Caenorhabditis elegans: one gene and its partners. The protein of the gene in region 3 purifies or fractionates together with the protein of the main gene of each other region. This does not show direct contact. Each region holds a gene or a part of one and is shown on either strand. Other genes may lie near its edges.

Region 1 (8,065 bases), on a different chromosome or scaffold from region 3:
ACGTCTTCCATAACGACTCTACCGTACATTAAAATATTTACTTTTCAGATCCTATGAGTAGTCAACATCAATATCCATATGACCCTAACTTCTACCCAACTGATCAATCATCCCATGTTCCACACCACTGCGATCAAAGAAATCATTATTTTTATGGAAACGTTACCATCAAAGAGGAGCCGTACATGTCAAACGTTCTGAACCACGACGACGACCAAACTCATATTTCCGATGAAGGCTTTGGGGAGGAAGATTCTGAGATGCATACAGGAGCATTGCCAAGCATTGATACACCGAAGAAAGAAAGAAAATATGAGAAAGTATCTGAAGATCAAAAGGTGTGAACGCTTTGCGTATTACATTAAACAATTTATTTGGTTTCAGGATGAAAAATATTCTTCTAAACGGGAAAAAAACAACTTGGCAGTTAAACGATGCCGTGAGAAGAAGAAGAACGAAGAAAAATATAAGAAGGAAGCATTTGAGAACTTGATTCGCAGTAATTTGGTCAAGGATCAAAAAATTGAACAATTGAACAATCTGGTTCAGTCTGGAAAACAGAGAGAAAATGCGAGAATCATGGAAGTACAGAGGGAGAAGAACATATTGAGACAGTTAAAGAACGAGTTGTACGTTTTTTTTTTTCAAACAGATTGTGAGAGTTTATCGAGAATTTTTGTAGAATTTTTGAGAATTATTTAACAGCTGTGTGATGTCAGAAAAATTGCATTTGAAATATGTTATGCTTATTGTGCGAGTCATGTCGGTTGTATTATTTTTAATGTAAAAGCTGATGTGCATCCAAAATTAATTTTCTAGATTTATGAGAATTTTCAAGAATTTTTCAGAAAAAATATACAGGTACGGCCTATTAGGGTGTTACGTATAACAGTATTACAGACCTATACAGGACCTATTAAATTCAGCTTAATACAAAACCGCTCAATAAGGACAGGACAACGTAGCTTTCTTTTTTTCATTATTATCTTAAAATAAATGGGAATGTAATAAAGTAAGAATGCCTAGGAACCCTTTTTTAGTTTTCACATATACTTTTTTCGCAGAAGAAAAGGCCACTGCAGCATTTTAATCGGAAAATCTCTATATTCTTCATTTGAACTGGGGTTTTTAGAGTTCAATATAATTAAAGTTAGTAATCACAATTATTTTTTCAGGACTCGTATTCCAAATGCACAAATGTTGGAATACTACCCAACTCTCAAAGAGGTCCTCCACTACTACGCCTAAAATATTTGATGTTCGTAATCAGATGTAACTCATCTTATTCCCTCACAATCTCAGTTACGGATTCTCCCCAGTGATTTACTTCCCGTGTTTTATTCCAATGACTTTAATTTTTGAATTGCCATATTTTCCACAATTTCCAATACATATCTCATTTCTTTAAAATAATGTGTAAAAGATGTAATTGTTTTAATAATAAAACTCAAGCAAAACATACAAGAAACCTCCTTCGAGAAGTTTTTAATATGCTTCAAGAAACTGGGAACAGCATGCGTTGTCTTCAATAATTGTTGTAATCCAATTAGTTTCTTGTTTGGGTTTTTCTTAGTAAATTTTTTCAATGAGCTAACTAGTAAGCCATTCTTCAAGTGCAAAAATAGCTGAATATCATAGTAAATCGCTGTAGAAGAAGAAGCTCAGGTTTTTTCCTTTATATTAATTTTGGAAATCGACAAAATATAGGTTTTTTCTATGGAAGAGTATGTTTCAAAAATTTGTATTTGAGCATTGTGAGTATTCAAACATACCACAATGCTCTGCATTTCTGAAAAAGCACAAATTTTTCGCGCATTTGGCAAATTTCCAAAACTGTAAATTAATATACACAAATATTGGTACAGAATCCCAATGACACTACCCCACCTGAAAAATTTCCAAAAATGAAACAAAAAGTTGAAAATCTTTTAAAAGTGTCATCAATAGGAAAATGATAAGAAACAATTTTCTGAGATCACTGATTTTTACTGATAGTTGGTTGTCTTCATTACTTTCTTCTCGTTTCGTTTCAAGTGTTTCAAATAGCACAGAATATGGTTTAAATATTGAGTAACTTCAGTATGAAGTTGTTTAAAACTGCTCCAAATATCGTTGTAAAACTTTTCGCAAAATTTTTGAAATAATTTTTATACAGTCAAAAGGAATGAAAACTAAGAGTTTTTCTATATTATAATTTTGGAAGTAGAAAAAATGTTACATTTACCAGTTTCATTTTTTAGTTCCGTTTCAAAGAAAAAAATTTAAATAGTTTGGACCTACAAATATGCTTGAAATAACTCAAAAATACGCATTTTTGGCCAATTTTGGCAATTTACTAATGTGCGGCCATGTTAGACTACTTGGAGTTTATTGAGACTAAATCTCCAGTGGCAATATTAAATCTGTAACACGTTTTTTCATTTAATTGAAATATGCAAGTTCTTCAAAACGTAGGTTTTAAAAGTATTTATTTACAATAAGTAAAAAGATTTAAATGTTTAATTTTCATAGAAAATAATGCTCTATAACGGCTATCTATTATATATATAGTGAATAGTGCAGTGAAGGAGAATATGAAAATTCACCTATTAGCTGAGTATCAACTCACAACGTGGGTACGAAAAAAACTTTGTAGTTTTTACTTTTCGGAGTATATAGGTAATTGTTTAACTACTGCCAATAAATATGAGTACAACTTCTATATTACTCCACATAGAAACCCCAATAGATCATTAATTGATCGACTATCAACTTTCAATCAGGCCATTTTCGAAAATTTTTCTCATTTTGAGAACTTATGTGCAGGAGACACCTTCTGTTCATAGAACACAATGGAAATCAATCGGTTTTTTCATAACAGTTGCCGTTGTAGTTTCTTCTCTTTTTTCTATCTTTTTTGCAACTTCCACATGAAAATTGCATTACGCACTGTGTCTGTTTATTCAGGCTTAGTTTCAATTTTAAACTGTTTGCAATAGACTTTAATGTAATTGCTAGGTTTAAAAGCCATTGACAACTAAAATTGTTTTCTAAATTGAACATAACTTGTAAATTGTCTCGTTCAAACCACCACCGCAAGTTAGCCAACTTTTCTTGTTCTGAGGCTAGATGGCATATCGGTAGATACTATCAGTGTCACAATTTGCCGGTCAAAAAACCGATAACGAAATAGCGGAGATCTTTTAGAAACTGCAGACAGACTGGGGAGTAATGGACGATAAAATAGAAGATAGGCTAGTTGGAAGGCGCATTTCTCATCAGAATCGTGTACTTTGTGTGTAACTCATTCTCATTTTTGTCCAAGTTCTAATAAGTTATCTTATTACATTTGAATTTCCACGCCTGATCGTTCACTTTTCTGGAAACTCATCGCTCCCACTTTCGAAAATCGTATTTTTACTATGAATTTTTCAAGTTCTACGATTTTAAAGGGAGGAGCATTTATGCGGATTGGTCTCGCCACGCGCCAGCCATTGATTGAGAAAAATATATCAATAGACGGCTCTTGGCGAGACCATTCCGCATAACTGCTTCCCACTTTAAAATCGTAGAATTGGAAAAGAAATACACAGTATTCATCAAACAATCAGCCATTATTAATATATTATTCAAAATATTATTCAAAATAGCATTCACTAATTTGTGTTTGAAGGAGGTACTTCCACATTTAGAAACTTGCAAATTTTATTCTTGGTTTTTTTAAACGTTCATGTTTTTTAAGATAGCAACGGTGTTTTAAAAACTTTCCGCTTCTGTCAGCAAAGATTTATGATCGATAAAATCTTAAAACACGTTGCAACGACACTCCGATATCCCATGCGATCGTTGTTTATCAAAAATGTCTTTCGGCCGGAATTTCAAATTACAACGTGGATTTCGTGGAAATGTATTGTCCTAAAACACAAAATATCTTGGCTTTACAGCGTTATTCGTGTTCAAAAAAGCACGAAAACGGTTTTTTCGCACTCTTTCTTTGCCAATCTTCTTATTTGTTTTCTCTTATGTCTATTTACTCGTTCAAAACTCGCCTTTTTCTCACTTTTCATTTTCTAATTGTCTATCTGCAGGTAATCCCATCTCCTCACGTCACGGAAATGTCTCCTCTGCCAGAAAACACCCTCATCGGAATGTGCAATCCATTGTTGGACATTCAAACCACCGTTGAAAAGGTAAGTTTTTGATTTCTCTAGAAATCTAGAAGCACATTCAAAAATATTTCATTTTAATTGCTGAAATCTACAGGCATTCCTTGACAAATGGGGACTCAAAGAAAACGACGCCATTCTTTGCGACGACAAGCACAATGACATGTTCACCGAGCTTACCAGAGATTTCAAAGTCGAGTACATTCCAGGAGGAGCCGCACAGAATTCGCTCCGTGTTGCTCAATGGATTTTGAACGCACCAAACCGAACAGTTTTCTTTGGAGCTGTTGGTAAAGATCAGTACGGAGATCTTTTGGCATCGAAAGCCAAAGAAGCTGGAGTGAATGTGCATTATCAGATCAACGAGACAGTTAAGACCGGTACCTGCGCAGCCCTCATCAACGGAACTCATAGGTAAGCGGATCATTGTTTGACGGACAGAAAAATCATCGTTGCCGTGTTGAAATGATTTCAGATCACTCTGTGCTCATTTGGCTGCTGCTAACACCTTCACTCAAGATCATCTCCAGAAGGAGGAGAATCAGAAGATCATCGAGCAGGCCAAATATTTCTATGTCACTGTAAGTTATCGAATTGATTTACAAATAAGCACAAAAGTATTCTCAATGTAAAATTTTCAGGGATTCTTCATCACTGTCTGCCCACCAGCTATTCTCCAACTCGCAAGCCACTCTGCCGAATTCAACAAGACTTTCACCCTTAACCTCTCCGCCCCGTTCATCTCCCAATTTTTCTTCGATAAGCTCTCGGAAATCATTCCATTGGTCGATGTTCTTTTCGGAAACGAAGACGAAGCTGCTGCCTTTGCTAAAGCCAATGGATGGGAGACCACCTGTGTCAAGGAGATCGCTTTGAAGGCTGCTGCACTTCCAAAGAAATCTACTAAGCCAAGACTCGTTGTTTTCACTCAAGGACCAGAGCCAGTCATCGTCGTGGAAGGAGATAAGGTGAGAGTTTTTGATAATTTTTGAATTTATTGTTTTCAATTTTAATCTACAGGTCACCGAATTCCCAGTAACTCGTCTTCCAAAGGAAGAAATCGTCGATACCAACGGTGCCGGAGACGCTTTTGTCGGAGGTTTCCTTTCTCAATTCATCCAAGGAAAGGGAGTCGAAGCTTCAGTCACCTGTGGATCTTATGCTGCTCAAGAAATCATCAAGAAGCACGGATGCACAGTGCCATCTGTTTGCAAGTACCATTAAACTGATAAAATAATCTGTGATCCCAACTTTCTCTGCTTTCAATTTCCCAGTCCCCTGGTTTATAGTATATCAAATTGTTCTTTGTTTTGCTCCCCATTCCCCGTCCTCGAGCATCCCTATTATTCGAAATTTTTCTTTTGGTGTTGTTTTTTTTGTCAAATGTTCCCAAAATGTGCCTTATAATTCATTTATCAGGTGTTTTAATAAAATGGCAAAGTTTTATTCTTCATCCATGTCGATTTGAATTGGAATCTTCTTCCCCTTTTCGACAAAGCCAATCAGATCCAGAACCAGAACGACACTGCCACGGCTGAAATAAAGTTTGTTGCATATTTATCAGGACTAGAGGAATATGATTACTTACAGTTTTGGTAAATTGTAAAACTGTTAGTGATCAACGTCACTTTTCCGAACACGTCGAAGTTTCTGTACGCCGTTCTTATCAAGGAAAGCAAAAAGAACATTAGTTGATTTGATCAGTTGTTCCGCTGGTAGACCTTCGTAGTTCTCATGAAGGACATTGATTAGAATGCTCTTCACATGAGCAGACAATACACTGTCAATGAAAGCAATCGGTCTGGAACTTACTTATCAATTGCTCATTCTGAAAACGAATCAAACCTGAGTTTATCTCGGATGATTGGTCTCTCGATGACAACTACTTTGACATTTACACATCCGTTTTCATCCTGAAATTTAAATATGATTCTTTGTTCTATCTCAAATAGTAAAGAAATATTTCCAACTTACCAAAGATCCTACGTTCTTGAACTTTCTATGTGGAACCTTTGAAGAACGGCTACTTTTTCGAGATTTCTTCGATGATTTTTTCGATGTGTCCGATTTCGTCGGTTCAGAATCATAGCAAGTTGTAGATGTTGGAGCGGAAGAAGAAGCAGTAACTGAAGAGCTTCTTGATTCAGACACTTCACTGAAACTTGAAATCAAATTATTTTTCACCATGTCGATATTTTACCACTGTTGAGAACGGCTGCGAAGATCTGGAGGAAATGGGAGTCCGTTGTTCAATGTTTCACTCTGAAAAAAAAAACGGAATTGAAACGAATCCAGGCAGGATTTCAGGAATATTATCCCCGAATCTTGTATAGTTTTTATAATTATGTTCACCGACCTCGGGTCTTGACCCGAAAAACTCTTTTCAGCTACCGTACCCACAAGTGTATGGTAGACTTTTTTGGCGAACTTAGATATAAGATATTTGACGAGCTGTTGGTAATTTTTTTTAAAGAAAATTCAAAACTTTTCAGTTTGAATATGAAATATTGGAAAACCACTTTTTGCACTATGAAACTCGAGTACTCAATTTATTGAAAATTTCTATATAAACTCTAACTCTAGAGATCCTAACTTTCTGCTCATCGTCTCTCATATCATGATTTTTCTGATAACCTACCGCTTTCTCTCTCAACGAGTTTGTACGACTTTTCTCATTGGTTATTTTGTATCCCATACTGAAATGGTTCAATTTATAGATAATTATATTATTGAAGCTTACAGTTTGCTAGTCTTCTTGATATTTTTCTCCTTGAGTGCCAACATAATTTCTGAAATAAAAAAAATGTAGCACTATAATTTTTTAGAAACCCTACTGTTAGCCTCAGTGCATGAAACTCGATACTTTTCATCGGCATCTGGACTTGAATCTTCCCAAACTATTGAATATTGAAAAGTTGTTCTGAAAAATTTGTAAATGTTCTAGTGTTCGGGTACCATCGTACTCACTGATTAGTTGGAACATCAAATGCAACGTGAAGCTCAGAACTTTTAGCCTTATCTCCAATCATTTCAAGACATTTTGGCAGAAGCTAAAATCAATAAATAATGATTATTCTGAATAATAAGTACATCTTCTAATACCATAAGATTGTTGGCATTTTGATTGACCTGATCTTGCTGGAATTTCAGAATTATTTTAATTTATCAATCCAATTTCAAAACTCACCTGAACTTTTGGATTACACTTTACGGCGGCGTTCATCATAATTTTCTTTTCTCGATCCAATTGTTCAGTAATTATTTGAGAAATATTAATAATGAATTATTTGAAATTTCAAGAGTAAAGAAATATGAATTTTTTTTGGGAAAAAAAGTGAACGTGTACTTTAGTGGTCATTCCAAAAAGGTTACGGTAGAATAAATAAACAAGCTATCTTAAGTTTTAAAAATAATATTCTCATTGAATGTGATACTTCAAAAATTGTGTCCTACAGTCACGTCCGGAATATTATTATGACACAATCAAAAAGTTTTTGTCAAAATTTTGGAAAGGTGCCGAATTTTCCAAAAATGTGGATTTTTCGAGTAATTCCTAGGTTTTCACCACTTTTTGACTGAAAAAACATGAATTTAAAAATAATTTTGAAAAGTTTTACTATGATATTTGGGCTTTTAGAACTACAAAATAGGTTTTTTTTTTCAATTTCCCCAGTGACGGCACTTCACCTATTGTGTTTCAGTAGAAGTCCTAGTCAAACTATATTATTAATGTACCATTATTACATCGCGGAATGTACATTCCAAAGAACTTCTTGACATTTTACAAACTTATCAATAAACGAATTTATGCAAAATGAAGTTGATTCAAAAAAAAAGTATCTCTGCAGACTCTTGTTTTTCGAACATGTCTCGTAATATATCATTAGGAATGTTTCATTTACAATTGTTACGTTGTTCAT
Region 2 (6,835 bases), on a different chromosome or scaffold from region 3:
TCGATTCCGAACAAAGGCTTCTTTTGGGGTGAGTAGTGGGATTTTAAGGAATGGTTAAGAAGGATGCAATGTTGGAATTAGTGGAAAAATGTTAACATGATAGTCCTAGAAATAGCTGAAGAGCACCTCTTAAGCATAGTTTTCTCAATTTTTATCAGCGAATTTAGGATCTTCGAATGAAGCAATTGAGAAACCGAAGAGAAAGAGAAGATGTTGACGAATCGGTATATTTATTTATTCTGTTTAGCACTAACATAATTCACATGGCATTTTTTTCAATTTCTAACTGTTAAAAAACACTAACTTTTTGGTTTATATGTTCAAAAAACTTGGGTTTCCGGTGATTTTTTCCCCAAAAAAAATTGAAAACAAAACAAACTGTAGGCGGAGGACTCGATGGTAACCCCACTCGTAACGGATACCGACTTTGACGAAAACTCGAAGCCAGTCAGAGAGCTCACGGTACTGTAGTGCTTATTCCTTTGTTGAATACGTCCTGAAACTCCTTAAGCAATTTGTGTCAATTATTAAAAACAAGAACATTTTCAGCCTCACATCTTGAAAGGACCTGCAGTGTTTTGGGCGATTGGAGTATTCTTCTGCATTGCTGTTGCGTTGTCACTTCTTGTCGTCAATGGATATAAAAATGTATAATTATTAATGGAATTTTGGAATCTCATCTAATTTATTGATTTTATTGAATACGGGTAGTTTCTGATAATTACTTTGCATTGTAAAAAAACAAACTTTGTATGAATAAACATATTGAACATCTAAGTGCTTGCGTTTTTTTAAACTCAACTTTGGTTGCGCATATCTTGGCTCTCTTTAGTTTTTATTAAAAAATGTCAACTACAGAAATATTTGTCAATTCTTTTTCTATAGTTTTGTAGTTAATTGTTTATTGGTATCTTTAAAATCAACTGAGATACCTTTAAATGTGGAGCAATTGGGTGCGGTACTAATAGAAAACATGCGGTAAGTTTTTTTTTTGGTAATTAGTATGAATATCTTCAGTCAAATTTTTTTTTAACATTCTAAATTTTCATAAATTATTTCAAAAAATTAACAAAATATATATGAAAACTGAAGTCTCTAGAAAAACTTAAAAATAACCAGACATTGCAAACTCGTGGTCAAAGTTTATTTATGTTAAAAAGTTATTATTAATTTTCATCGCTGTGGTAACCATTGGTTACCAAGAACATGACATCATTTTATTAATGTTTAAAAAACACGTCGATCCGCCTATTTTGATTTTTACCAAAAACTGATTTTCGTAATACCTCCAATAAGTCCCCCCAAAAAATGTACAAGATCAGTGAGATAAGATCAGTGTCACAAACTCTGCGTCTCTTCCTAATCCACCACATTCCAGTTGCTCTCTTCTCCCTTTTGCGTCCGCTGGTCACTTGAAATACCAGTTCGATGATGACATTTCAAATGCCTATTTATACAAAAAGGAGAAAACACAAAGGTAGTGCAAAATGTATCACTACTCTACTCTTTTTCTACTTGCCAGTGGTTTTGTATTTTCTACTGCAAAATGCCCGGCGAATTCATTTTGTTTTTCACCAAGTCGTGTGAATATCACAGTTACTTGCAATAAAAACGATGGATTCATGAGTTTGAAATGGAAAACAGAGGAAAAAAGGTCAGCAGTGAAGATATACAATGGGGTGAGATAATTTATCAACTTTGATTCCTCATTATTTTGGTTTATTTTGGAGATATCGATAAATGTTCAACTACAAACCTACAGAAAATATTTAACGAATCAGTTCAAGACAACTGAGATATGAGATGCCTCTTCTATTGATTTCGTTTTTTTTGCAGGTGAACCTTCTTGAATTTGTTTGCGGATTTCCCATTGGAAGCTCAAATATTGATGTCAAAACCTACAAACTAGAAACTTTGAAATCTGAAAATTTAACGTCGTGTGAGATTGATTTTTATCCGGGGGATGTTCTATTGATGGTAGGTGCCAGAAATATATCCTGTAATAGTTTTAATTTTTCAGAGTGAATCTTCAAGCTTAAAATGGTCCAACGAAAAGTCCGAATTCTTCAATTTCCATGAAATTTGCAATCCGAAAATTGAAGGTCTGAGTAAAGAATTCAAACGATTACTTGTAAAATTACATGCAATTCTAATGATTCTCGGATGGCTTTTCTTTGTTCCAACGGGATTTTTATTTGCAAGATATGGACGGCAAGTGTTCAAAAATCATACAATTTACGGAATGTTCGTATGGTTTCAAATTCATCGAGCCTCAACTTTTATTGGTGTTTGTTGTATTGTAACCTCGATTTTGTGCATTTTAATTTCAACAAATTGGACCTGGAAAGGTACTGGATCTGAAGCATGGTACTGGACACAATGGCACACGGATTTTGGAACGATTTCTACTATTCTGGCATTCTCCCAGCCGTTGAATAGTTTGTTGAGGTAGATTTATTTTTGTAAAAAAATAGCAAAATTTTATACTTTTTATTTATTCCAGATGCCCACCTTCCAACTCACAACGTTCAATTTTTAATTGGGCTCATCGAATTGTTGGCCTTCTCTCCTACACTTTTGCTGGTAAGTTTCCATGACTAGAATTCAAACTTTTTATACAAATTAAGTGGCCGCAATCTACGTGGCTGCCGCCAATTATCGAAAGACATGGTCAGAGCCAACAATGGAAATTGTGCTGACCAGTGTGCCGACCATTTTGTGTATCGCCACAGGATTCGTAGTTTTGTATTTGGAAAGCGAGCAGAGAAATGGGTATAGGGAAGTTGAAATGGTAAGATTTTTCAATTTGCATTTAAAGTTCTAAAGTTGGAATATCCTATGCAATAAGAACATTTCTACGAAGATCATACCATATCATGTTGCGAATCACATGAACCAGCAGTCCGTATGTAGTTTACTCCTACGGGCAATATAGGCCAAATCACTGGAGATTAAATGATTAATTTATTTTTATTTCAATTATTGGCAACAAAAATTGATAATTTAGTATTAAAGAAGTGTGGAAAAGGGGGAAAAGTTTCTAAAAAAGTTAGTGATCCAAAACATAATATCTCATTTGTAAAACTAATAGTTTCGGTAAACAGTGAGAAAAATGAGTTTAAAAATGTTTTAAACTTGAATTCCCGCGCACAAGAAGTTTGAATATTTTTTGAGAATTTTTTTCTTAATTTTCAGAATTTTGTTGAATGTTCAAAGCACCTGAATTGCAATTTTTTGCATCAAATTTGAGAAAAAAAACTAGAATTTTTAAGGTAAAAAGAACATGTTTTATTAAAATTTTCAAGCAAAAAATTCTACAAAAATTAAGACTAACTTTAACGTCACAAATTTTTCAATTCAACATTTGTAACACAAAAAAATGTTCCACAAAAGACACAACTTACAGATCGAAAAATCCGAAAAAAATTCCAAAAAACCGGAGCGTCTTCAACTTATCCAAATCTCATGGATGTTCGCCGTTGTTGGAATCTGCTTCGGTGTCGCCATTTCATTATCTCTTCTGATTGCAAATGGATTCAAAAATGACTAATCACCTCTTTTTCAATGACAACTAATTCTCGTACCAACCACTTTTCTCTTTCTGACCTGACCTGCAATAATCCATTAAACGGCTGTGTGTGTCCTCTTTCTCACTTTATCACCAACTATCTCTTCTAGAAAATAAATATATATTTTCTATATGTTTCTTCTTATAACAGAGTCTATACATTATTACATGCAATTCATCTTTCGCAACATTGACCGGCCTCAAAAAATCCGATAAAAGTACAATGGTGACTGGTGTTCTAGGAAATAGGATTGTTATGATAGGGAGTGATATCTTATCTCTTTTATTATCACAGCCTGACCTCAATATGTCAGAGGTGGAGTCTTCCGGGTGACCCTTTAAATAGTCCGGGCCTTGACACCGATAGGCTGTGTATTCTTCATTTCTTCGATCTTCCACCTGTTGCAGTTTTCTTTTATTTTTCAAAGTTAACATATCTATATTCATAGTAATTAATTCTAGAATGAACCGCTTCGCAATTCTCCTGGCTCTCCCACTTCTTGCTCTTGCTGCTACTCCAAATGAGAAGCTGAAGCTATGCTGTGCCACGTTGAAGGATGCCGATAAGGAGTGCGTCGATCGATTCTGTGACTTCAATGCTCTTTCTCAAGCTAACGTAAGTTGTCTCCTGAGAGCTAGTTGCGCGTCAATTCTGATGTATTTAGTCAGCTTACTAGAAATAACCATTACACGTTCTTATTTCAGATTCTGAACTTCATGTCGACTTGCGGAGAGCGTGGACCAACTGTCGGAGAAATGTGGGATTGTGCTTCCCTCCGTCACAACCACGAGGACTGCTGCAAGAAGGCCGGTGTCTCTGGAGAATGCCTCAAGTACTGTACCGCTCATAAGGGAGCTCCATCCAACTATTTGGACTATGCTTTCTGTACCGAGAACTTCAACGAGATCCGTGATTGCTTCTACAACCATTTGGACAAGAACGAGCCATTCAAGAAGCTCTAAATGGAAATATAATAATTGAAATTTTCTTTATATTATGAAACGTGTATTTAATAATATGGAATAAAGATCAACTTGATGATAAAGTTAACAGTTTTCCAAGCTATTTTGTCTTTTGATTGGCTTGTCCGGAGTTCTGGAATTGCCAGTTCAAAGGCACATGATGTTTTTCCAAGTGGGTCTCGCCACGATCTCAGACATAATTGTCGTTACAGGGCCCAGTTTTCCAGGTGAAATAGAAAATATAGTTTATGAAATTTCAAACTCAAAATTTCCGGTAGAAAGCCCGGATTTAGGACCTAGTTCCATGTTTCCGCAATGTCCTACAAAATTCCCCCATTTTCCAAAACTACAGTAATCATACAGTACTCAATCACTACTTTACCCAAGCTACAGCAACTAACAACATAACTTTCCCAAGTTTCACGTCTCGCCTTCTTTCTCGTATTGTTTTGTTTTGACAATTTGAAGGAAAAAGCTGTTGAGTCGAGTGTTTGTCGGGGCGGCTCACACTGTAGTACAATAAGGCTTCACATGCGCCTACATAGGTAATCGCGTGCACTTAAAACGGAAAGTTGCTCACGGAGAATAAGAGAGATAGAGGCTCGGCTGTTTGTGTTTGATCTACATCTATGAACCTCAAGATGGGCATAACTTCAATATGTTTAGTTTAAAAATTTAACAAAATTAGGTTCGAACTTACTTTTGGACTATCAAATCAGACCTTTGCCATTTTAAGAAAACTGTTTCAATATGTTGAAATATATTTGAAATATATTTTTAAAATATTTGAAAATTGAAATATTTTTGAAATATATTTGTTTCGCAGTTTTCCAAAATTGTCTGAAATATTTTTAAAATCCCTGCCTTTTTTGACTCTGCTTCCAGAAAAGTCTATGAGGAAATTTTGTTAGTAAAAGCTCGTAAATATGTATTTCAACCTACCTCTGACTCAGAACTACTCGGAAGTATGACCCGAATGAGTCAGGAGCTTAAACTTTCACTTTCTTAAGAATCCCTCGAACGATAACCAATTATTTTTCTTCGTCGAAAATTTTAAATATTCTCAAGAAATTAAAACGTGGAGGCCTTCATCAGAAGAAGAAGCACGCAACGCCTTCATTCGAATTTTATTACCAGTTCTCTGTTTCTCCCATATGTTACAAGTTGTGCAGATGTGTGTGCGCACGTTTGGCCCCTAGTAAAATGGTCGTAAAACTACGAAGGAGCAGACGGAAGCTCTCCTGCTGCTGTTGAAGATGATGACGTGGCACTTTAATTTACAATATTGTGTGCTCAGGAGGCTTCATGTTTGACAAGTACAACATCAGCACACTCAAGTTTACCCCATTTCTTTTCAAATGTTTTTGTTGTTTTGATTGGAAATGTCAAAATGGTGATTGGATTTTGGTTTCCAAAAAATATTTGGAATGCGATTTGCTCCATCAAATTATTCAAACCAAAGTGTTTTTAATTATTTTTTTGGTCAAAAATCTATTTTGGACAGCTTTTGGCACTTAAATCGTGTAAACTTCTAACACTAAAAAAAGTTTCTGGAGGTGAAATTGAACGGAAAATGGGAATTGAACCCCAGCCCTCTCCCATGCTAAGGGAGCGCTCTACCACTGAGCTATACCCCCGACGAGTGATTCGGGTGATCAGGGCAAAAAATTTTTCGGTGGCTTATCACTGATACAACCAGATTATGTACCTGGTTGCAGAAGAAAAATATGTACAAGGTCTAAAAAAGTTGAGAAGCATACTACAGTATTCTTTAAAGGCGCACACTTTTCTGCACCCTATTAAAATTTTTCATTCGTCTCAAGACCATGTACCGTAGTTTTGCGTAAAAATTACATGATTTTGCGGCCATCGCAGTTTCTTCTTATCAGTGATAAGCTATCAAAAAAATTTTTGCCCTGGCCACCCGAATCACTCGTCGGGGGTATAGCTCAGTGGTAGAGCGCTCCCTTAGCATGGGAGAGGGCTGGGGTTCAATTCCCCATACCTCCAAGAATTTTTTAGCGTTTGGTCACAAAACTTTCTTATTTTGTCTAGCGTTCACTAGAAAAAAAGAAAGTGCCGAAAAAACTTCTATCATCAAAATTGTAAACCGTTTTCTTAAACTTTCACCCACCATTAAACCGTAAATCTTTGTTATTTTTTTCCTCTAAAACAATCAACCAGTCAGCCGGTTGGCTACCTCCTAATCCCAAGTAAACCATGCATATTTAGTGTCAGGAATAACCCTAATCTCCACCTCCACCCGGTTACAATTGGCGCAAAATCATCATTAACGTGGCTATT
Region 3 (9,570 bases):
TATTATTGTCTAGACAATGAAAGTAATTATTTTTAATGGTGAAGTAATGTAGTCCCAGTCAGGGGGGTGTGCGGCATATCTATTTTTCCAACATTCGCCGAGCACGGTAAATTCGGCAAATTTGGCAAATTTGCCGTGCTTAACAAACTCCAAAAAATGTGATACTTTTTGATGTTTTTTTAGAGCACCAAAACTACTGAATTCTGAACAAAAATCTGGTGTCTAAAAAAGTTCCGTGTAGTGTGTCTGCTTAAGCATAAAAATTACTCAATTTTGTGCCATTTTACTAAATTTTTGGTGACAAAATCATTAGTTTTGGCCAAAATTGTCAAATTTTTGATGTGTGCGCCAATTTTGGCAAATCTAATTTCTTGAAATTGGCCGTGCTCGGCAATTTGGGCAAATTCGCCGAACTTGCCAAACGGCGAATTTGCCGCACATCCCTGGCCCCAATATGCGAAAAATAACTGTAAAACATTTGGTGGTAAACGAACCCGTGAATTGATTGCAGTTGAAAAAATACTGAAAATAGAAGTTCCAGAAAATTTTAGATTTTGGTAAGAAGCTAAAAACAAACCAGATATGTTATGTCTCAAAAGTAGGCACACTTACATACCAGGGCTGTGCGGAAAACGAGATTTACGCCAACCGGCAATAGCCGAAGTTGCCGAACCCATAAAGTTTCGGCAACCGGCAACTTTTCGGTTGCCGAAACGTCGGCAACTTTTGGTTGCCGAAACGTCGGCAACTTTTCGGCAACCGGCAACCAGATTTCAAAGTTTTTTTGTTGAAATTATATTTTTGAGCGTTTTGGAAAAAATTCTGGTCGTTTTTCTCGTTTACAGTGAATTTTAGCATTTTTCAGGCTCTCTGAATGCTTCTTTCTGAGCTACAAAGTGTTTGACATTGATATCGGCAATTGCCGAAGTTGCCGAACCTAAAAATTCCGGCAACTTGGTTGGCCGCACATCACTGTTAATATATCTGTTAGGCCTTCCGGTACCTGTTACAGTAATATAATATCCCCTGAATTACCGGAAGCCGTGATTCTGTGGTAAAACAAAACAAAACGAAACAAAAAAATCAATTTATTCATAAATCACCCATCATTCAGTGCCCTTCATACAACCTATTTCTTATTTTTCTTCGATCTCTTGGTCTTATCGGATTGCTCGACCTTCAGACTAGCCACTTTCTCAAGCGTGTCATCTTCATCTGACTTTTCCTGATAGAATCCGTTCTTCATTTTCTCCTTCTTATCAACTTCATTTTCAGCCATCTTCTTCTTTTTCTTACTCTCCGTTGGCATCTCGAATTTGGGGAATGGCTTCTGCGATTGGTCGACCGGTTTTGCATCAGCTGCACCACCATCTGGAACCGGGCTCTTCGTGTCTCCCTTATCATCCTTTGGGTCTTCTTTCTTCTCATCTGAGTAAGTGTTTTTGCCAAAAATAAAACTAAAAAATAGTATTTCTTTCTGATTACAACCTGGAATTAATTACCCCACTAAAACTTTACCTGTTAAACGCAATTTGCTCAGAAGATAGTAAACATTTCCCAAGCGATACAATAATTAGCGCCATATGACACAAAACAAGAGAAGTTTCATTTCTGCACATGGAAAAAACCAAAAAAATTGCCGGGACAAGTAGGTAAAACTGCATCTCGACGCACAATGACCAGGTATAAGTGAAATGTCGTCTGCTTGATTAAGCTGAAATTTTTGGTTTTTTTTTTTTTGAAAATTTTGAAGAAAGAATTATCGATGAAAAGTGTCACACCATTTTGAAATACATGTTATCGTCCGAGTGCCATATTATGGTACAAGAAAATTGAGCTGAACGCGGAGTCCATGTTCATCGAAAGAAAAGTTGTGGGGAATATGAAGAATACCAGCACACATCCTGTATTACATTTGTGTCAATACCAAAGAATTTGAACACTTCAACTGACCAATAAGAACAGTTAGCAAATACAGAGGTAAAATCCGTTTTGAACGACGAAAATAAAATTGATAGACTGAATTCCAAGTGATAGGTTTTGAGCTAATAATCATCGCCATAAGAAAACCGGAAAGCACAAAAAACCTAAAAAAAGTTAATATGAATCTATTGAATTGATAAATTTGCAATTTTACATGTCGACTCCAATATAGCCGTTTGGAAATGTTTTCGGAAAGAAGTGAAAGGCCAGAACTGCTCCGATTGCAAGCCCTCGGAGGCCTTGGAGATCATCTCGTTTCATGTTTTTACTAAATTCGGAACAGGTTTAGCTTGTATGTAGAAAATTTTGAACCCAAAAAAACCGTATTTCTTCTCATAGTATTGCACATTTTTAAAAGTTATATCTCGGTTAACATTAAATATGGCAAAAAAATAATTGTTTTACAAAACGATAGATAAAGAAATAACAAATATTTTATCAGTTGACAAGTTTTGTATAGAACAACGGACAACGGAGATATAAGCTGTCAAAGTTGAACAATTGACGTAATACTAAAAGTAGAAATACGGTGTATTATATAATCGTTTTTAAAAAAAAGTTTTAGAATTTTCTAAAAATCCAAATTTTTCATAATTGCATAGAACATTAAAAACATTACAAAAAACATCAAAAAAGATGCAGCACGAGGAACCTGACATCTCAAATACACACTGAATTATGCCCTTCTCGAGTGATCTGCTTTCGGAAGATAGCTATCGAACCCGGTAGATCAGCCTCTCGTAGATCAAATATGCGTGATAGATTGAAAATTAATCCCGAAATGTTCTTTAATATTGTAGATTCGTAATCTGTGAAATCGAAGAACCACGCTATCAAGTTTTGTTTCAAAAACTGGAAAATGCTGAACCCAAGTTTAGGAATTTTAAGAAATCGTGTACTTACCTCAAATTTTTATTTTTAATTTTCAGTAGAGGCTAGTTAGACACTTTTAGTTGCTTGGCCGTTAATCAATGGAAATTTAATAATTTATACTGTACATATGTTATTTTTCTCTATTTTTTCCATTTTATTTTCGGCAACCGGTTTTTGGAATTTTTTTTGTCAGATTTTTACAGTTTATGTTCTGGATGGGATTGTTTTTTTTAATCTCAAAATTTTTGCACGTTTCAGGTTTCAATATCATTTTACATATTCAATGAGAAATCAACTTTTCTGCAGAAGCCAGCGTCCACTTCAAAATAATTTTTGAACGGTATAGCAAATTGATAATAGTTAAGATTTCAACAACCAGGCTGTCACATAAAAATTGCACTCTATAAAAAATCGGTTTTTCAAAGAATTGGCAAACGTACAGAACTGTTCATTTCAGTACGAAAGTATAACTTTTTCAAATCAAATATTTAAAAAAAATGTAGAAAATTGTTTGTTCAATCTGAAATTTTTATTCATTTTTATTTGAAAGTTTAAAAAATACCTCAAACGGTCGTTGAAAATTTCAGTTTGCTGTGAAAAATTCAAAGTAATTTTTGCACAAAACAACAATTTTAAGGCCCTATTTAAAGTTTCTTTTAGATTTTTCAACAATAAACTTTTTATTTTCAGAAGGCCTTTCCGGCATTTCTATTTTTTTTTTTTTGACTGTAAATATAACTTTTTAAAACAATTTTTGAAAATTTTTACTATGATATTTCCTAATTTTGGCACGATATTACGCTACTTCACCTTTTAAAAATTTTTAATTTGTGTCTTTTGTTGTTTTTTCATTACTTCAAACGATCAAATAATGATTTTCGAACTCACCCACTTTTCGGTCATCTGACAACACTTTTCCCCTCTTATCTAGGCGTCCTTCATTTCAACGTCGTCCACTTCCTACTACTGTTTCATCACATGAACATCTATCTGCATGTATTTCAAATTTCTGTCAATAGTCTCAGTTCTCACATTGCCACAAACAAAAACAATTGTCATGTTTTTGGAATTTGCATGAAAAAAAAGTGAAAATTGGCCTCCGCATCATTGAACATTTTCCGTTACGGTCTTTTCATCTTTTTTCTATTTTTCCGGCATTCATTTTTTGTGACTGAGCGAAAACCGTTTGTTCATCTCTCGTCTCTATTTCTTGCCGATGGTCACAAAATACCTCTTATCATTTATTTTGTTTATCATTTTGTCATCTATTGGTTTAAACGTAGCTTCTCCTTTTACATTTATCAGTTTTCTGCTTTTCGGTCATATTCATTTTGAGTATTTGCAGAATGACCGTAGACTCTATTCCATTGAATACCGGAGCTCAGCTTCCACTTTTCGGATTGGGAACGTGGCAGGTGAAGGATGAAGCTGAGCTGACTGTGGCTCTTCGTGCAGCTCTTGATGCTGGATACAGACTTATTGGTGAGTGCTGTCCTAGATGGAAACCATAATTTTTTTTTAGTCATGTTTTCTTTTCTTCTTCCATTTGAGATGTCACAAAAAAATAATTGGAAAATAAAAACCGATTTAAAAAATGTTATTTTTGGCCAAAAACGGAAAACTCAAAAAAAAAGTGGTGGCTTGCTCAAACCAGTTAATTAAATTTTTTGCACAATTGAAAAAAAACATTAAAAATTTTGAAATTTTTTTCCAACATTTTTTACATTCGGTAACTACGACCCATTTTCAAAAAACCGACAAACTTTACTCACACCTTTAACTTCAGATTTTCCCATTCAAATTCTAGGTATTTTTCTACTTTTTGACACAAATGTTGAGATTTTTTACGGTGTCCAGTTTTTCGAGTTTTCGAATAAAACCATTGGCAAAGTTGATCCTTGGAGGGCAGTTTTGACAACGTTTTGACAACTGAAAATCCCATTTTTTCAATATTCAGACACTGCTCACCTCTACCAAAACGAGCACATTATTGGAAAAGTGCTCCATGAGTACATCTCATCTGGAAAACTGAAACGCGAGGACATCTTCGTCACCTCTAAACTTCCATTTACCGCTCACGCCCCGGAAGATGTTCCAAAATGTGTGGAAAGCCAATTGAAGGCGCTTCAACTTGAGTATATTGACCTGTATTTGATCCATTGCCCATTCCCATTCAAACATCAGGAGGGAAGCTTTGCTCCATTGATGGAGAATGGAGAGCTTGCTGTTACAGAAATCGCTCATATTGATACATGGAGAGCGTTGGAGAAGTTGTACAAGGAGGGAAAGCTTAAGGTTTGTGAGATTTGGTCTTGAAGGAACATCAGCAATTTCGATTTCCATAAAGTAATTGAATCAGGGGTGGGCGGCAATGCCATTCGGCAAATTTTTTTGTCGACAAGTTCGGCAAAACGGCAAATTGCCGGTTTGACGGTTTGCCGGAAGTTTTCATTTTCGGCAATTCGCTGATTCGCCGTTCGCCATTATATAAATTTGCCGGAAGTGTTTAGAGGGAATTTTTTATAAGACGGAAGCACTTAACACTGTGTCTTTTTGAAATTTTTTCCCGTTTTCATTAAACATTTTCAAAGGATTTGCTTATTTTTCAAAACAGATGTAGAAACATTCATAGGATGCGTACAATTTTGCCGATTAAAATTGAAATTCTGAAATTTCCAAAAAAAAAAGTGCAAAACCACAATTTTTCGAAAATTATTGGCCTTTTTTCCGGCAAATTCGGTAAGCAATTTGTCAGTTTGCCGATTTGGCGGAAATTTTTAAACAGGCAGTTTGCCCGAAAAATCGTTTGCCGTCCATGTGATGAAAAGTTTGTATTAAAAATGTTCTTATTAAATTTTTTCTTGAAAATTTCCAGTGGTTTATTCAAAAAATGTAGTCAAAATTAGACCCACCGGGTGTCAGCTGCTGTAACGTTTTTTGGAATACATATACTTATAAAATTTCAGCAGAATGTAGAAAAATTAGTTGCCAATATTTTGTTAACTATCCATGTTCAAGTTACACGTAGTGTTCTTTCTCCAAAAATATAATTTTCAGGCCCTTGGAGTATCCAACTTCAGTTGCAACCAGCTTCAAGCGCTCTATGACGCCGCCGAAGTGAAGCCAGCCAACCAACAAGTCGAGTGTCACATCTATTGGCCACAACAAGAGCTCCGTGCTCTGTGCAAAAAACTCGGAGTCACTGTTACAGCATACGCACCACTTGGCTCACCAGGCAGAAAAGCTGCTCGTCCGGACGGTGTCTGGCCGGAAGGTGACCCACTTCTCGAGCCAATCGTCAAACAACTGGCTGCCAAGTATCACAAAACTGCTGCACAGATTCTCATTCGCCACCTGACTCAACACGGTATTTCGACGATTCCGAAGAGTGTCAGTCCGGACAGAATTGTTGAGAATATCTCGACGTTTGATTTTAAGCTGAGCGATGAGGATATGCACACTTTGAACAGTATCGAGACCAGAACTAGACTTTTCATCGCTGATTTGTAGGTTTTTTATCTATGGAACGAATGTTTTAAAATTAAAAAAAACCATTTCAAGTTTGAAACTTTTATATTTTTGTCGAAATTATTTCCCCTCCACTCGCTCACTTCAGGATATTTTCCCGTCAGTGGGCCGGTAAATCTTCAGTAGTCCAAACCAAGAGTGCGCTGCAATTGGCAATTTCATCAATTGCCGGTTTTGAAAAATTCCGGCAATCGGCGATTCCGGCGATTGCCGAAATTGCAGAAATTGTCGATTGCCGGACATTTTCGGCGATTTTCAAACCTAACTATATTTCGGAAATTGAAAAAATTGCAAATTGGTTTTTAGTATTCAGTTAGTCATTTTCTGAAAGAAAGCGTTAAATCCATCAAGGATTCAATCATTTTGAGCTTGAAAAAGGAAAATTGTTCCTTAAAATGCATGTTTAGGCTAAAATTATATTTCCGGCAATTCTGATTTCCGGCAACTGGCAATTTTGGCAATTGCCAGTTTTGGAAATTTTCGGCAATTGACAATTTTGCCAACTGCCGAAATTTCCAAAATTGGCAAAAATTCGATGGTCCAAACTCAAGAATTCCAGCTCAAAATTATACAATCCTATAAACAAATTAAATCACACTTTTCCTCGTGTAGTACACAAAGCTATGCAAATTATCATTGTATAATTTTTCAGCGCTGTCAAGCATCCATTCTTCCCACACGACGACATTGACACCTCCAAAGTTCCAAAAGTTGGGATCAGACTTCACTAGACTTTTGGCTCAACTTGTGAATTAGAAAACAAAATGGATTGTAGAACTCTTTATCGCACATTTCTTATTATGAATATTTGTAATTTTGATTCGAAATAATGAAGTACATCATATATATATATATATATATATATATATATATATATATATATATATATATATATATATATATTTCCCGCATGTATTTTATGGTCGAATATCAGGGGATAAACCAGTCTCGGAAGTGTTGGCGAAACAATAAAAAAAAACAGTTGATGATCGACAAATAATTGGACAACAGGTCTCGTCTCACTTCAAAAGGTTTCCGACGAAGAGGACCATCGACCTTGAGACCAAACAAACGACAGATTTTTGATTGCATAATTGAGGATGAAGTGAAGGCACTTCTTTTTTTTGGTGTGCATATCAGATCATAGGCGACTACATTTCGGCACCTCATTTGTTTCCTTACGTTATTCCACACTTAATCTGCCAAAACAGTTTGTGGGGGTACAGGTGGTGGGATTTGGAATGAGTTCCTATAAATAATTTAGGCAAATTATGAATGCTATAGGAAATTTCAATTTTTTTTTGAGATGAAAAATGATGAAGTAGAATATTTAAAAAAAAAACAATTTAAATTAGCATATTCAAGAAAAATTTCAAAATTTTTTTATTTACAGTTTCAGTTTTTTTCTATAATAATTTTCAAGCCTACAGCAATTCTTGGAATTTTTCAAAAATTTATGATTTTGGAAATTTTGAGATTTACCAAAAACTTGACAGAAAATTTTGAAAAATCTGATTTTTTTGTAGTTTTTCAGATATTATATTTGATCATGTAAAACGTGTGTATAAGTTTATTGAGACGAAATTCCCACTCACTGCATATTTATACTTTAAAAAACTATTTGGAACAACTAAAATGTATCTATGCAAAGCAGGCGTTTCTGAAATTTCACTACTCGGTTTTTTTTAAACAAAAATCATTATTTTACGTTTTTCAGCTCGGGTGAATATTTTTAGTTTAGTCAAACTTGAAAAATATTTTTTCTCAAAATACCTGCTCCAAAATAATTTTTTTTTCCGAAAATCTATTATGAAACATTTTTATCTTTTCCAAAAGATATAATGATTTTTGCAGCTGAACAAGATATGGTAAATACTTAACATACTTATATAATTTTTGAAAAATAAAAAAAATTGAAAAAAACAGGCACTAACTTCTCAACGGTACCTTAAAAATTAGTTTCAGATCCATTTTCAAATTTTTTAAAAGTTCTGCACGCCTCGTCGACAAGAACTATTAGTCTATGTTTAGTATATTCTAGTTTTTTTTTAACATAAACGTTTTTAATTTAGTGATCTTCTAGAAAATATTAACTATTTGGCAAATTTATCTTGATCTCAAAATTATTTAGTACATTGATTTTTTGAGCCGATACCCTCTGTATACTGGGTAAACAATGATTGATAGAGTGTGCAATTTTTCAGATAAAATCAAGTAAATTTTCTAAACATTCTAAAATTTATGTTCAATCCTTTTTTTAAAGAATTAATACACTATACGAATACTCCTTCGGATTTACTGCCCAAATAGACCCCAGCCATAAAAACGCTGGATTTCCGATCGATAAATTCCCCTACACCATTTGACCCCAGGCGGTTCCCGGGAGCTAAAATTGGAAAGAGGTCAGGGAGACAAAGAGTGATGACGTGGTCACACCGCCTGTAAGTGGTGTCATTTCTTGGATTAGAGTATACTTTTTTTTGGTATTCGCACTATACTGCTATTTCGTGGTCTCGCCATGTTTTTCCGTACTCTTTTGTATACTTTTTCTTTGATTATTTGTTTGTAAATTTGATTGCTCTGAATTTGTAGTCAAGTTTTCGTCTAGTTAACTTGAAAGGTGCAGCTCTGTTTGAATTCGCCAATGTACTTTCGTATAAATACAGTTTCGCAGTACATAATTATTTCAAAGTCCCCCAGTTTTAAAAACATGGTTTTTTTTTTAAATTTATTTTTCAAAATTGAATTCTAGTTTAGAAATCTGTATTTTTGTCAATTTCCTGGCAACAATACCACCTGCCTTTATTAGCTGTGTAGTTGGCTTTGAACTAGTGTGGAGATGGCAGGCTGTCTGGGAAACAGAAGGAGGCGATGTCCTGTACGTCCACTGGCAGACGGTCTTGGCCAGTATACTTTTGAACCTGCTCGCACTATAGTGCTGGTCATGGTTCAATTTTGTTTCCTTTTTAAAAAATTGTATTTAAATTTTGGAATATTTTTCTCGGGATCTAGAATTTCACAATTGTAATTCGCCGTTTAGCATAGCTGTTTCGTACAAAATTCAACTTTTTGAACTAGTAATTAATGGAAAAACGTAGGAAAATGTTTGTTCAATCTGCAAATAATGTGTGGATTTGTTTGAAAACTTTAAAAATTCCTCAAACTGTGCCTTAAAGTTGCCTAAAA
Region 4 (7,108 bases), on a different chromosome or scaffold from region 3:
ATGTGGATGGATTTGAAATTCCACAATCTGCTGCAATTATTCGCTACCTTGCCAATAAATTTGGATACGCTGGAAAAACTCCAGAGGAGCAGGCTTGGGCAGATGCTATTGTGGACCAATTCAAAGATTTCATGAGCCTATTTAGAGAGTTTAAACTTGCACAAAAGGCTGGAAAATCGGATGTGGAAATTGCCAAAGTTGCCTCAGAAGTTGCAATTCCTGCTAGAGATTCGTATTTTGAAATCATCACAAACCTCCTTGAAAAGAGCAAGTCAGGATTTCTCGTTGGAGATGGGCTCACATTTGCTGATATTGTCGTGGTGGAAAGTCTTACCAACCTGGAGAAAGTTCATTTTTTCGATGCATCGGAGCACCCGAAATTGGCAGCTCTCAGGGAGAAGATCTACGCAATTCCGGCAATCAAAAGCTGGGTGGATATTCGACCAGATACTATTTATTAATTTAGTTTCTGGATTTCTTTTGTGAATAAATTGAAATAAATTCAGAAATATTCATGCAACTATTTTTATACTTACAATTAGAACAATTTTATTTTGGCGGGGACCGCGGACAAATAACGGGCGAGACCACAAATCAGGGGTGGGCGGAAAACGATTTTTTCTGGCAAATAGGCAAATAGCCGGAATTGAAAACTTCCAGCAAATCAGCAAACTGGCAAATTGCCGGACTTGAAATTTTCGGCAAATCGGCAAATCTGCAAATTGCCGGAATTAAAAACCTCCGGCAAATCGGAAACCGGAAAATTGCGGAATTAAATTTTCCGAGAAACCGGCAAATCTACAAATTGCCGGAATTGAAAACTTCTGGCAAATCGGCAAACCAGAAAATTGCCGGAATTGAAATTTTCGGCAAATCGGCAAATCTGCAAATTGTCGGAATTAAAAACCTCCGGCAAATCGGAAACCGGAAAATTGCGGAATTAAATTTTCCGAAAACCCGGCAAATCTACAAATTGCCGGAATTGAAAACTTCTGGCAAATCGGCAAACCAGAAAATTGCCGGAATTGAAATTTTCGGCAAATCGGCAAATCTGCAAATTGTCGGAATTAAAAACCTCCGGCAAATCGGAAACCGGAAAATTGCGGAAATAAATTTTCCGAGAAACCGGCAAATCTACAAATTGCCGGAATTGAAAACTTCTGGCAAATCGGCAAACCAGAAAATTGCCGGAATTGAAATTTTCGGCAAATCGGCAAATCTGCAAATTGTCGGAATTAAAAACCTCCGGCAAATCGGAAACCGGAAAATTGCGGAATTAAATTTTCCGAAAACCCGGCAAATCTACAAATTGCCGGAATTGAAAACTTCTGGCAAATCGGCAAACCGTCAAATTGGGCTCAGGCTCAGGCTCAGGCTTTTGAAGTCCTAGTTTCAACAAAACCAAAAACCACAACCAAAAACCAAAGTGGCAGGAAACGGCAAAAGATCAATCGTTTCAAATTGTTCAAACACAACCAAGCATCAACTGCCAGCACACGTGAAGGCAGAGACATAGACGGTAAACATATAGTATAAAAAGGGTTGGCAAAGTTGTACAGAAAAATAATTGATGCGATTATTTTGTTGTCCAATTATTTTCGGCGTTCCAGTTTTCCTTTTTTGCGTATAAATACTACTTCATTACAGAAAAGTTGTCAAAAATGCCTACCTACAAGCTCACCTATTTCAATGCTCGTGGATACGCTGAGGCCGCACGTATCCTCTTCCACTTGGCAGATGTTCCATTCGAGGACTTCCGTATGACACACGGAGATGGAACATGGGAGAAGCTTAAAGACGGTTAGTGGAGATTTGGGGCCTACCGATTGCCTGCCTATCTTATTATAGCGCGATATTTTGATAAGAAGTTATGGATGGCATTCAAATTTTAAAAAAAGTTCTGACAATAATGGGAAAGCCAAATTTTCTGAGCACACGGTCTTGGATGGGTTAAATTTTTTTCAAAAAATTGTAGGCATCATTTTTCGTAAAAAAGGCATTCCAAATTAAAACAAAAAATTATTTAAAAAATTTCGCCGGAAAAATCAATTTTTTTTATAAAATAGTTTTAGGGCTATGTATATGTAATTGTTTCGAAACTTTTTTAGCGGGAAATTCACAATAAAAAAAACATTATTTTTCACGATGAAGTTTTGGATGGGATTCGAATTTTAATCTAAAAATTTTTTTCTAGAAACTTTTACAACTTCTGGAGCTTTTTGGAAAATTTCTGAAAATTTTGAAATTTTTAGAATGCTCCAAATACTTACTCACATATATATATTTTTTCAGGCGCCCCATTTGGTCAAGTACCTTACCTGACCGTTGATGGATTTGATATCCCACAATCTGCTGCAATAATCCGCTACCTTGCCAACAAATTCGGATATGCTGGAAAAACCCCAGAAGAGCAGGTTTGGGCAGATGCCATCGTTGATCAGTTCAAGGATTTCATGGGATCATTCCGCGAACGTATCATGGCACATTTCGCTGGAAAATCTCAGGAAGAAATTGCAAAGATCACTTCTGAAGTAGTGATTCCAGCTAGAGATTCGTACTTTAAGATTCTCAATGGGCTTCTTGAAAAGAGCAAGTCAGGATTCCTAGTCGGCGACAGTATCACCTTCGCGGACATTGTCATCTCTGAGAATATTACTACTTTGGAGAAAAATCAATTGTTTGTTGCTTCGGAGCAACCAAACTTGGCTGCTCTTCGAGAGAAGGTCTATGCAATTCCAGCTATCAGGAAGTGGGTAGAGGCTCGTCCAGATACTCAGTACTAAATCGAAAATTTTCTTGAAATTTTGTTCAATGAAGTAATATAATTACAAATTCGAATAAATTTTTAAAATGCACCACTATTTGCATTCTTATTTGCAATTTTCCTCTCAATCGCAGCTGCCTTCTTCCTCTAAAACCCGCACTCAACATCATTCTCAACAACACCGTTTCTGCCAAGTGCACGCGTGGCCTGCTGGATAACGAGTTGGTCTCTCGTTCCGACTGCCACAGGTTCGTGCCCTCTCACCGCCTCTCTACCAAACACTTGCAAGTTCTGTTTATTGCAAGTGCATGGAAGAGGCGAATAGAAAACGGAATGATGTCCACTCCTTCGATTATCGTTCATTGGATTGCGGGCACTTTACCTCGTTCGACATTTTTTATTTTAACTTAAAGTAGAATTTTGGATTTTATTGACTCTCCGTCCGAATTTTTATTGACTCTTCTCCCACCTCCCCCCCCCCCCCCCCATCCATTTCTTGGTTTTTGGTTTATTGATCTCCACGACAGTTTGATAACACTTTGCGGAGGAATTTTTCCCAATCATTTTGCTTGCAGAATCACACAAGAAAACTGTCTGGTTGTGGTTTTCATTTAACTAAAATGCCATCCTACAAGCTGACCTATTTTAACGTGCGTGGATATGGAGAACCAGCTCGTATTCTGTTCCATCTTGCCGATGTTCCATTTGAAGATTTCCGAATGACCATTGGAGATGGAACATGGGAAAATCTCAAAGCCAGTAAGTAATAGCGACCTTGAAACGCCATATTAAAATTTAAAAAAAACTGAAATAAAGTAGCCAAGACAGAAATTGAACATTATTTTTTGTTTCTATTTAGAAACTCCATTTGGACAAGCCCCAGTCTTATCAGTTGATGGATTTGAAATTCCACAATCCGCTGCAATCAACCGCTACCTTGCCAAGCAATTCGGATATGCTGGAAAAACCCCGGAGGAGCAAGCCTGGACTGATGCTATCGTCGATCAATACAAGGATTTTATGGTATCAATCAAAGAAGTGGGAAAAGCAAGCGCTGCTGGAAAGTCTGCCGAGGAGGTCGGGAAGATCATCCAGTCAGATCTCGTTCCGGCAAGAGATGCATTCTTTGTGATAATCAACAAGATCCTTGAGAAGAGCAAGTCCGGATTTTTAGTTGGAGATGGTCTAACCATCGCAGATATTGTGATTGTGGAATGCATCACAACTTTGGACAAACATCAGCTCTTCACTGCATCGGAGCAACCAAAATTGGTCGCGCTTCGAGAGAAGGTATATGCGATTCCAGCAATAAAGAAATGGGTTGAGATTCGTCCAGATACCCTGAACTAGGTTTGTTTTAAATGTGCTGATATATTAATTCAATAAATCGTTATGTTATGTTCATGTAATCTCATTTTATTTTCAAATACGTTAATTCTGAACGTGTTAATTCTATTTTTAACTTTATTTTTCTATCTAGATTGAAGCTAAACTCAGTTCTGTTCAATTTTACAGTTAAAAAAATTTTATGGTCCAGGATACATTTTTTAAAATTGTACAATTGACCTTAAATTGTTATTTTTCTCTGAAATACTTTGTAAAAATTAATCATGGTTTGACTTTTTCTGTCAAATATTTGATAAGACTATGCGGAAAGACTGCATTTTTCCAATGCTATTTCGAAAAATTGTTTGATATCGGAATCACACTATCACACATACCTATATTTAAAACAGACAGATCACTATGCCTTCCTACAAACTCACCTATTTCAACGCTCGTGGCTACGGAGAAGCTGCTCGTATTCTCTTCCATCTTGCCGATGTTCCATTTGAGGATTTCCGTATGACCCATGGAGATGGAACATGGGAAAAGCTGAAAGAAAGTAGGTCATTTATATGTGGCAAACACTAAACTCAAAGTAAGTATTTCAGAAACTCCACTCGGACAAGTCCCGGTCCTATCCGTCGATGGATTTGAAATTCCACAATCTGCTGCAATCATCCGCTATCTTGCCAATAAATTTGGATATGCTGGAAAAACCCCGGAAGAGCAAGCTTGGGCAGATGCCATCGTTGACCAATTCAAGGATTTCATGGGATCCTTCAGAGAAGTCGGAAAAGCACATGCCGCTGGAAAGCCAGCTGAGGAGATTGCAAAGATCATGCAATCAGATGTCGTTCCGGCTAGAGATGCATTCTTCGTAATCATCAATGGGATCCTGGAGAAGAGCAAGTCAGGATTCTTGGTTGGAGATGGGCTCACTTTTGCCGATATTGTAGTTGTGGAGTGCATCACAACTTTGGACAAAAATCAGTTATTCACTCCAGCGGGAGAGCCAAAGTTGGTTGCTCTTCGGGAGAAGGTCTATGCGATTCCAGCTATCAAGAAGTGGGTCGAGATTCGCCCAGATACTCAGTACTAAAGTTTGTTGTAAATTGTTTGATAATTGAATACAATAAATAGTTTTAATATCTCCTTGTAAAAATTCAAATTATTGTGGGAATATAAATTCACTAGTGTAATTTAATTTTCTAAAAATTTCATAGTTCTGTTCGCTACAGTAACAGTGCTGCTTGAGTACCGAAGATAATTCTCAAGTGCTTCGAACCACTCTTTTCATTTATTTCATACTCATATGTAACCTAAAACATAGAGCTGTGTACTGTTTTACTATTGAGTACGAAAATTTTATTTCAAACATGTTATCAAACAATCAATGGAGATGTGAACAACCCGTATTAGATGATAATACAATCAATGGAAAAGAAAATACCCTGGGTTTTCAAAAAAACATACAAACTACAACAAAACGCTCTATGAAGCCAATTCCATCGAATGCGGAGTAGGAGCAACTGCACGTTTCCGTCGGAATAAGAGCTTAATGTCATGCGTTAAAATGAATATTACTGGCAACAGAATGAGAGCATGAAGCATTCCAAGTATACCGACCAGGATCACAGTCTTCCAGAATACTGCTACAACATACGCACGTACAAACATCAATGGGAACATGCCAAGAATCGTGGAGAGCCCGGACTGCATTACTGGCCAGGCGACTCCGCGGAAGGTGCTTAGAAGACGGTCACGAGTCTCGGCGTAGTTATGTGATCTCCAGAGTTGCTCCTAGAAAAATATGAAGTTGGTTTGAAAATGGGGTACGGTTGTTTGGTATGGTGGATGTAGTGTGAAGTATGTAAACATCGTGTGGGGCTGTCCCATTACGGTTTGATCTACAAAAAAAATGCGGGGATATTTCGCCAAGAGAAATGTGTTGAAAATCAGTTGAAATCTCTGCGTCTCAACTCCCGCATTTTTTGTAGATCTACGTATTTCAAACCGAAATGGGACTCTCTGACACCACGTGATGGTACAATAGTTTAAAAATAAGATCATAGATTAGGGTACTGTAGGGTTAATGCATGTTTCAATTTTATAGTATAGTATTTGACTAGAATGCCAGTACAGTAAGGGGTACTGTAGCTCGGGCGTCTTAATAAGTGGCTTAGCTTGATGGGATTACTGTAGAGCTAATTTAAGTCAGCCACACACAACTTTTAGTGTTGTGATTCTTTATGAAACGGAGATTCCTCGTAGAAACGGAATCCCAGGTTACTGTATTTTAGACTACTGTAGATTAAGTTTTTTGAAACTATTTTTTTACAGAACTACAGTGCTCCCACAGTACCACAGAAGAACTCCTACACTACTCCTACAGTGCCCCTACAGTAGTCATACAGTACTACTATAGTACCACTACGATACCCTCACACTAAGCTGAAAAATCCTTACATCCTCATGCACATGAGCAAAGTAGTGATAGCAAACATGAGCCGAATAGTCCACGGAAAATCCAATTGACATTAGCATAGATATCAGTGAAACTGCATCGAGATTCACATTCCATAAATGGAGGTACACAACTATTCCGAGACATATTGATACAATTGACACTGCTACAGAAATAATTGCCTCGAAATTCATGATAAATACCAACACTAGAAGGGACATTAGTACGACGGCGGATACTGAAAAAAACAAATATTTGGAAGTTTTAATATTCTGGTACGGAAAAAAAAACGATAATTTTTAGAGTTTCTTTACCTGACGTGGATATAAAGTTGAATGGGGCTGAAGCTGCACTTTCCGTGGGAACTTTTTCAAATGGATGATGTGAAAATACTTTGAAATAGGTCGAATAATTCTTCAAAATATCCCGACGGTCCTCCAAAAACGACTCGACTTCCAGGAAATTGGTGAAATTGCGATAGGTAATTGTGAAGAAGAATCCATCGATAATTTCATCGCCATTCGTGTCATTTGTCATAGTGACATATTTCTCGT

The links.
Region 1: the proteins of exc-15 (region 3) and adk-1 fractionate together in Caenorhabditis elegans (co-fractionation; one large-scale study listed by BioGRID). This does not show direct contact.
Region 2: the proteins of exc-15 (region 3) and dbd-2 fractionate together in Caenorhabditis elegans (co-fractionation; one large-scale study listed by BioGRID). This does not show direct contact.
Region 4: the proteins of exc-15 (region 3) and gst-27 fractionate together in Caenorhabditis elegans (co-fractionation; one large-scale study listed by BioGRID). This does not show direct contact.

Annotation. Positions count from the first base shown.
Region 1 is NC_003282.8:11,206,834-11,214,898, reverse strand, and holds adk-1 (Adenosine kinase), read left to right. Parts: upstream 1-4,067; 5' UTR 4,068-4,094; coding exon 4,095-4,169; intron 4,170-4,242; coding exon 4,243-4,559; intron 4,560-4,620; coding exon 4,621-4,726; intron 4,727-4,786; coding exon 4,787-5,113; intron 5,114-5,165; coding exon 5,166-5,369; 3' UTR 5,370-5,590; downstream 5,591-8,065. Other genes in the region: zip-6 (BZIP domain-containing protein), read left to right, coding at 49-338, 385-629, 1,176-1,248; R07H5.9 (Kinesin motor domain-containing protein), read right to left, coding at 5,757-5,946, 5,991-6,058, 6,120-6,300, 6,346-6,407, 6,784-6,841, 6,886-6,934, 6,980-7,065, 7,113-7,195 and 2 more.
Region 2 is NC_003280.10:4,558,920-4,565,754, forward strand, and holds dbd-2 (DB domain-containing protein), read left to right. Parts: upstream 1-4,030; 5' UTR 4,031-4,031; coding exon 4,032-4,184; intron 4,185-4,273; coding exon 4,274-4,531; 3' UTR 4,532-4,541; downstream 4,542-6,835. Other genes in the region: M03A1.3 (Cytochrome b561 domain-containing protein), read left to right, coding at 1-28, 550-654; M03A1.8 (ascorbate ferrireductase (transmembrane)), read left to right, coding at 1,488-1,679, 1,837-1,977, 2,021-2,448, 2,504-2,583, 2,628-2,791, 3,407-3,550.
Region 3 is NC_003283.11:4,479,303-4,488,872, forward strand, and holds exc-15 (NADP-dependent oxidoreductase domain-containing protein), read left to right. Parts: upstream 1-4,156; 5' UTR 4,157-4,202; coding exon 4,203-4,338; intron 4,339-4,813; coding exon 4,814-5,151; intron 5,152-5,913; coding exon 5,914-6,362; intron 6,363-7,036; coding exon 7,037-7,115; 3' UTR 7,116-7,241; downstream 7,242-9,570.
Region 4 is NC_003280.10:15,161,946-15,169,053, reverse strand, and holds gst-27 (glutathione transferase), read left to right. Parts: upstream 1-3,345; 5' UTR 3,346-3,384; coding exon 3,385-3,523; intron 3,524-3,623; coding exon 3,624-4,114; 3' UTR 4,115-4,164; downstream 4,165-7,108. Other genes in the region: gst-29 (glutathione transferase), read left to right, coding at 1-461; gst-28 (glutathione transferase), read left to right, coding at 1,662-1,800, 2,293-2,783; gst-26 (glutathione transferase), read left to right, coding at 4,511-4,649, 4,699-5,189; ptr-20 (SSD domain-containing protein), read right to left, coding at 5,582-5,890, 6,557-6,792, 6,869-7,108.